2 linked regions of the Coturnix japonica genome follow. The protein of the gene in region 2 purifies or fractionates together with the protein of the main gene of each other region. This does not show direct contact. Links are inferred from orthologs where the notes say so. Each region holds a gene or a part of one and is shown on either strand. Other genes may lie near its edges.

Region 1 (3,916 bases), about 71 Mb from region 2:
AGAGAGAGAGAGAGAGGGAGAATGAAAGAAGGTAAATACCAAAGAAGCAGAAGCTCTGAGAAAATCAGAAAAAGTTCAAGTCCAGCGTGAAAGAACCTCAGAAGTTAAACTCCATCAGCTGTAGTTTTCTCAGTTTCTGTTACGAACTCCAAGTGTGAAGGAGTTTGTTAGCTTTATCCTCGCTAAGTAAGGTGGAGAATGGAGATGCTGCTGAAGTTAAAGGCAATGTGAAGCCTTAACAGAGACTTCCCATTGCAGGGCAGAAGCCTTACTGGAATAAACTGCTAAGGTTCTGCTGACATGGACTGGAACTCTGGCTCCTAGCAGTGCTTTAAGATTGCATTTCACTCATTATGTCTTGATCTAATATTACGATTGTGTAGTTTAAATGGATGAAACAAAAAGTTCCTTCGAATAACAATGGGCCAAATGTAGAAGATCTTACTCAGTCTTCACTCAGACAGAATTATTATTGGCACTGATGAGGGATTTGCTTGAGTCAGGAGCAAGTACGATTTGGCCAGATGACATGTAATATGTTCCGTCTTCAAAGCATTTTTCAGACATTACTTGATTATTCCCAAACCTAAATAGGAACTTCTAGGCACAGACTAGCATAGTAGCAGGGATGTTTTTGGTTCCTGAGTAGTACCTTTGCATGTCACAGACCTGTGCCCTACCAGCTCCTCCTGCTCTCAGTGCCTGGCTTGCATTCTGCAGCTGGAGAGAGTATCAAGTATAATAGAGCCCTCCAAACAACAGGATTATTTTGTTTCTGTCAGATCTCCTGCCAGTGTTGATAACCTCCAGCATTTACAAGTGAGCAGAAAAGATCTTTTCTACTCAAGGCAGAATAGCATTCTACCCAAAATATTCTCAGCCCCTGCCATCATCCCGGTCTTGTTCACAAGCTATTTAAGATCTCCTGCTAACCCTAACAATACCATACAGGACAAGAGCAAGGTGCTCATTAATAAAAGGTTTCATTCTTCATTCATTCATGTTTCCTCTGTTTAGTTAAGCCAGAGATACTGTTGAAGGAATAAAACAAACAAAAAAAAACACCAAACCAAACCAAACAAAACAAAAAAAAAGAAAAAAAAAGGAGGGGGGACGACAGCCAGGAGGGAGCCCCAGGAGGGTCAAACTGGGAAAAAGGAAGAGTAAATTTACAGGAATTAAGAGATTTTACACAGGAGGGCAGAAAGCCTGAGTAGTGATATTTGAAGAGAGGTGTGTGTTAGAGGAGCAATGAGCATAAGGAAGCCAGCCTGCCTGTTCCTCCCCCTTCCTAATCATAGCCTTTACTCACAGACAAAACTCCCTCCCTCTCCCATTCACTCACTCACTTTAGGCCAATCCGTCCTCTCCCTCTCTCTCCCTCTCTCTGTGTCTCTCTCCTACTCTGAGACAGAGTCAGAACTCTTCTCCCTGACAGCCACTAACATCTACAGCACTTATTGCATTCAGAGAGGGAACCTGCAAACAAAACTTCACAGAAAACTTTTGGTTCTTGTTCCAGAGAATTTGCTGAAGAGAAAGAAAAACAAACAAACAAACAAACAACACAAACCAGCCCCCAAAAAAACTGTGCGTGAAGGGGGAGGAAAAGCAGGGCCTTTTAAAAAGGGAATCACAACAACTTTTGCTGCCAGGATGCCTTTGCTTTGGAAGAGAGGATTTTTGTTGGTGATTTGCTGGATTATAGTGAGGAGTTCCCCAACCCCAGGATCCGAGGGGCACAGTTCAGTCACTGACTGTCCATCATGTGCCCTCACCACGCTCTCGAAGGATGTGCCCAGCTCACAGCCTGAGATGGTGGAAGCAGTAAAGAGGCACATACTGAACATGTTGCACTTGAGGGACAGACCTAACATCACCCAGCCGGTGCCCAAGGCAGCACTTTTAAATGCCATCAAGAAACTCCATGTGGGAAAGGTGGGAGACGATGGCTATGTGGAAATAGAGGATGATGTTGGAAGAAGAGCAGAAATGAATGAAGTTGTGGAACAAACCTCAGAAATCATCACTTTTGCAGAATCAGGTGAGTGCTTAAAAACAAAGCAGTAAAACAGCCTATTTATCAGAACTGCAATTAACTTCTCTGTAGCAGTACTGCTTTATGCGAGGTTGTGAGATGAGACCTGGGGGAAGGGAGAAGGACGAATGGGGTGGGGTGGGGGGTGGAGGGGTGACGGGGACTCTGAAGGAATTTGATTTTTCTGATTTAGTCTTGCCTGCAGATTGCACTTGCTAGTCACAGGCAGACGCGCAGGGAAGAAGCTCTTTAACCCATCTCAAGCAGAAAGTCAGGCTGCAAAGGGGTGCTCCAAACTGCTTCTGAAACCAAAGTACTTGCACTAAAGTACTGGATTGCAGTGCTGATGGTGAAAGAAAAAGGGCTCAAGGCATTTGGGGATTTTCTAAGGACAGAAAAGTAAGCTGCAAACTACTTGAGAAACTGCCCTTTAAAAATTACAGTGGAAGTTATAAAATCAGATGAGCCAGCTTTAACTTTTAGAAGTGAGAGGGCTTTTTTGTTTTCTAATTTAACACAGCATCTTCGGCAATAAAGAGTTGCAGGGACTGTCAGATGACTTCAATAGAATTGGACAAGTTGCTGTAGCTGATCCAATTTGTAATGCAGACTTCTGCATGATGGAAAAAAAAATTCTGCTCCTAAACTGCTTCTGCCAAAAAGAAAAAAGAAAAAAGAAAAAAAAAAGCAACTTTGATAGTTTATATTTTGAACTTTTTCACAGTTCTGTTTTTTCCTAACTCTTGTATAGTAAGGGTTAAGAATATAGATATTTATTAACTAATGGCTAAGGCTCACATCAACTGCCTATCAGAAACAGCTTTAAAGTTGTAGTTTACTGTCTTATTCCTACACGAATAGGACAAAAACTCATTTTAAATCAGTGGATGTGTATGTGCATATGTATCTGTTTGCATATATATGTTTATGCATGCATCAATGTCAATATCCTGCAAAAACTCTATCATCTAACAGCAACTTTTTATGATGCTGTCTAGCCAAAGCATTTTTCCTGTTGCCAAGACAGTTTTAAAAGAATGTCATTGTTTTGTTTGGTACAGCATATGGTAGGCAAAGTATGCAAAGGAACACCAAACATTTTTGTTTAAAAGTTTGCTGCAGCAGTATAAACAATTAAGACAACACTCAGAGTTTCCAGTCCTGAAAACCTGTTGACTCAGATGTTCTGTTTGCAGGGAAGCCATGCATAAGAAGTGTGCATGCTTTTAAGATCAGACATTCCTGCTGCCTGTCCAATTTCCAACTGCACAGGGACCCCTCGCCTTCGGTGTTCTTGTCAATACACACATTATCAGTCCCTTCAGCATGCAAGCTCAGGCTTTTTTTCTTTTTTCTTTCTTTCTTTCTTTCTTTCTTTCTTTCTTTCTTTCTTTCTTTCTTTCTTTCTTTCTTTCTTTCTTTCTTTCTTTCTTTCTTTCTTTTTTTTNTTTTTTTTTTTTTTTTTTTTTTTTCCATCCCCACCACTTCAGAAAGCAGGCAGACATCAGTGCCAGAGGTCCCCAGAACCAGGGGTGGCTCAACCTTAGTTTAGAAATGAGCTTTTAAAAGCAGCGAAATCTCTACGAGTCAGATTCCCCACCTGGTATTCAGCAGCTCATTCTGAAACATATATGGCATGAGCAGTGGTTTCTCGTCCCTGTGTGAGTCCCAATCATTTGTAAACACATTATTGTCTCTCCTGAGCTCTCACACAAAGGAATTTGGAATTTGATATATGCCCACTCAGTACGACATTCTCCAACGGCGGCTCTTGAAGCCAATGGCTCCCAGGGCCACGTGAGCAGAGAAAATCATGCCCAAGCCCACAGGCTGGCCAATAGTTCAGCCACTAATCCCCCTGCTGCAACAACCCCACAC
Region 2 (3,816 bases):
ATTTCATGGGGACAAATGTCAGGGGCACAGGGTCAGCCCCAGGAGCAGCGCAGAGGCAGCTGCAGGCAACCAGCTTTCACAGCTCCCATCAACCTCGAGGTCCTGGGTGAGGGGGGGAACATATGCAGGGACACCCTTGCCAAAACAAGGATTATCTCGCCTTATAGGAAGATGGCCCCACTCAATGGGATGCAAATTCCTGCATCTGGGCATGGGGTTTCAGTCCTTCCTCAAGGCAAGAGAAGGATGCAGGGTTACAGAGGGCTACAACAAGCACGGTTGCAGTGAGGATGGAGTTATCAGTCTTACAAACATAGGAAATAACATACTCCGTAAATACATGTATTGGTTGCCCAGTGAAGTTGTCAGGTTGCTCGAAGAAGCTGTGGATGCCCACTCCCTGGTGGTGCTCAAGGCCAGGCTGGATGGGGCCCTGGGCACTGATGTGGTGAGTGGCAACCCTGTCAATGGCAGTGGGGATGGAACCAGATATCCTTAAGTTGTTCTGTGATTCTACGTTGTGATTTATGAAGCACAGCCCCTTCCAAGGGAGGTTCTGCAGCAACCAGGTTCCCCTCTCCAACACATATCAAGACAGCGTGAGGGCCGAGAGAAGTCCCCACCCTTCAGATGTGTGCCATAAACCACCACCAGCCACACTTAGTATTTCACAGGCAAAACACTGATTACTAGCCCTTTTCCATTTCAGATGTGGGTAAAAAACCCTCCTGTCTTAGCACAGGATTTGTTTGGATAAAAGGCATTTACTTCCCCAAAGCACAACCTCCTTCTCTATTCCACAGCATCGTTTCAAAGAGGTCATAAACATTTGAACACGGCACCTGAAAAGCATTAAGGAAAGAGGCTGTACCTGTGTGCTATAGCAGGTTTGTGTCCTTCACCCTTGCACCATGGGACGTCCTCATGGAGGTAAGACAAGCCACGGGCCATGGTTTCTGCAACATGGCAGAGCTCGTTCCAGCTGATGATATTGCCCTTCAGGTAATCCGTGAGAGAGCCCTGCAAAACAGGACATTGTACATTCTTAATCACAGCCATTGCTATGTGACAGATGTGCAGACTCATCGGTTTCATTTAGTTTTAATGAGTGCTTGAGAAATGTGAACCTTCATTTAACAGGCAAAAAATATAACTAGCAAATGTTAAAAAAAAAAAAGAAAGAAAAAGAAGAATTAAAACCCAGAAGCATTCATGAGTCCTTGGCCCGCGACAGCACAAAAAGTATATGGATATCTAAACTGTGTCCCAATCCATTCATCTGCTTGGGAGGCTGGTGAAGGAAGGGACAAAGTCATCACAAAAAGAGCAAGTCATACAAGCTAGAAAAGAAGAAATATCTGCATGCAAGAAGATGTTGCATCATATCAACTGGTAGTGGAAATGATTGACTCAGTAGACCTTGGATTAAATAGAGGGATAATGCTGCCGGCTCAACCCCTGGTTTGTGTGTGTTTGTTTTATTTTGAGCCTTAGTCATGTTTGATAACTAAAGCAATTCAAGACAGAGGAGGTATGCCCTGAGCTTCAAAAACAAACACGGAGCCTATCTGCAAGGGCTGGGTTGGGAATGCAGTGGCCCCAGCCTCCAGCTCTCCCTGGCTCATCTCCACATGTTATGAGATGGCAAGCACAGCATACGTGAGCTGTGTGCAGCCTATTGCGCCACCTCCCTCTCCCCAGGTCCCACCTTTCTTAATCCAATGTTTGTGCAGGAAAGCCTTGAAGGCTAAAGGAAGGGCCATTGCTGAAGGGGAGACCAACTGGGGGAGCTTCTGGGAGAATATCAGCCACCAAATACTGTGCTTCATAGCCAGCCACCCCTGTGCCACCCCCAAATGAATGTGCAACGATATGTTACCTTGTCGTGGAATGCTGTGATCAGCCAGAGCTCTGTCTCTAGGTTTGTTCCTCTTTTCTCTGCTGCGATAAATTGCAAAAGGTTTTCATGCTTCATGCCAGGAGTATTGAAAATCTCCCTCTCACTCTGCCAAGATTGCTTATCCTAAAGCAGAGAGAAACACACCATCGAAGATCACACTTCCCTTTAAAGCAAACAGCTCCTTCAGCTGCTTGCATCCCTCTCAATACATCCCTCAGCCTTAAGATGTGATGCTCCCCTTTGAAATGAGGCTATTTTCCTACAGGGTAGATGCTAGAAGAAGAAGAATGGAAGTCATTGTTCCCAATCTCCCTTCTCCAAAATTCTCCTAAAGCTCATGTTTGGGCAGGGGGGAGGGATCCAAACCCAACCTCACTGAGAAATAAGCTTTCTCAAGATTTTCTAAGAAAGCAGTCAGGAATAAAGCCTGTGCACACAGCAAATTGTTACGACTGCAAATCCAATCTAGACTGTATTGAATATTTACTAGTAGGTCACAGCTGGCACGGACAGAAGATGTGCAAATCTCCTTTAGCAATGCTATGACAACAAATACAGGGAGAAAAAAATTAACGAATAAGGAGACTGCGGAAGAGCACAAAGATGTTTCAGTCATTCCGCTCTCATTTGACTTTTGATTGCTCAACTCCTTTTATTTGCAATTCCTAAAGAGTCAAGCCAGGAGCATTCAAAGGTTTTTTGAAGTAGAAGATTTGAGCTGACAGACACACTGAAGTGCAGTGAGCTTGCACAGCACCGGGGTTACATCTCTGTGAGTAATAAAGTGTTTGCTAGGTTGGGGGGTCTGGGTTTACAGCCTTCCTGGATAGGACACACAAGGCTGAGCATTTGGTCCTCTGTGTGCACTTCAAGCACTGCAGTCCGATTTCTGACAGCACTGTTTGCAGCAGTGTTAAAAACTTGAAGATTCAAAATGTGCTTGTTTGCCCTTCTTGCAACAACTACTTCAGGAAGCATTTGGTAATGAGATATCACATAGAAAAGGATAGGCGAGGTCCTTAACTATTGCCTCCAGTCTTTGTAATAGTAATGACAACACCTCCATGGGCACTCAGAGCATCTCAACACTGGCACGGCAACCCTGTGAGTGAGCCTGAGGGTGATGCCCTTCTCACCTGAATTGGGAAGATTTTCACTGCTACGTAGTCATTCATCAGCTGAGCCTTCCACACGCAGCCGAAGCGTCCCCTGGCTTTGATCTCCAGGAGCTGTAAAGGTTTTAGGCCAACCAAAGGAGAAGGAGGTGGTGGGCCGGGGTCCTGCACAGAAGAACAACAGTCATAAGCTGTAGCAGGACCATAAAACAAAGCAGGGGAATCAAAGAATCACAGAATTACTTGGGTTGGAAGGGACTTCAAGGATCATGAAGCTCCAACTTCCCTGCCACAATGCAGGGCCACCAACCTCCACATTCAATATTAGACCAGGCTGCCCAGGGCCTTGAACATCTCCAGGGATGGGACATCCACAACCTCTCTAGGCACCTTGTTCCAGCATCTCACCACTCCTTCTGTAAAGAACTTCATCCTGATATCCAACCTAAACCTCCCCACCTTCAACTTAAAACCATTTTCCCTTTTCCTACTATTATCTACCCTTGTAAAGAGCTGGCTCCCCTCCTGTTTGTAGGCTCCCTTGTACTGGGAGGCTGCAATGGGGTCACCTGGCAACCTTCTCTTCTGCAGGCTGAACAAGCCCAGCTACCTCAGCCTGTATTTATAGGGGAATGAAGAGGTGGTGTGTGGCAAAAAGTGCAAAGGATTATGGAATATCCCAAGTTGGATGGGACCAACAAGAATCATTGAGTCCAGCTCCTGGATCCACACAGGACAAACCAAAATCCAAACCCTATGTCTGAGAGTGCTCTTTATGTCCCTCAGGGAAGGGAGCAAGGT

What was found.
Region 1: the proteins of ACVR2B (region 2) and INHBA purify together in Homo sapiens (affinity purification with western blotting; 3 studies listed by BioGRID and IntAct, with this or other methods). This does not show direct contact. The link is inferred for Coturnix japonica from reciprocal best matches to the Homo sapiens genes ACVR2B and INHBA.

Annotation. Positions count from the first base shown.
Region 1 is NC_029517.1:76,024,596-76,028,511, forward strand, and holds the start of INHBA (inhibin beta A chain), read left to right. Parts: upstream 1-1,145; 5' UTR 1,146-1,251; coding exon 1,252-2,044; intron 2,045-3,916. UniProt on the Homo sapiens protein: Inhibins/activins are involved in regulating a number of diverse functions such as hypothalamic and pituitary hormone secretion, gonadal hormone secretion, germ cell development and maturation, erythroid differentiation, insulin secretion, nerve cell survival, embryonic axial development or bone growth, depending on their subunit composition.
Region 2 is NC_029517.1:5,092,431-5,096,246, forward strand, and holds part of ACVR2B (activin receptor type-2B), read right to left. Parts: intron 3,181-3,816; coding exon 3,037-3,180; intron 2,024-3,036; coding exon 1,880-2,023; intron 1,021-1,879; coding exon 872-1,020; intron 1-871. UniProt on the Homo sapiens protein: Transmembrane serine/threonine kinase activin type-2 receptor forming an activin receptor complex with activin type-1 serine/threonine kinase receptors (ACVR1, ACVR1B or ACVR1c).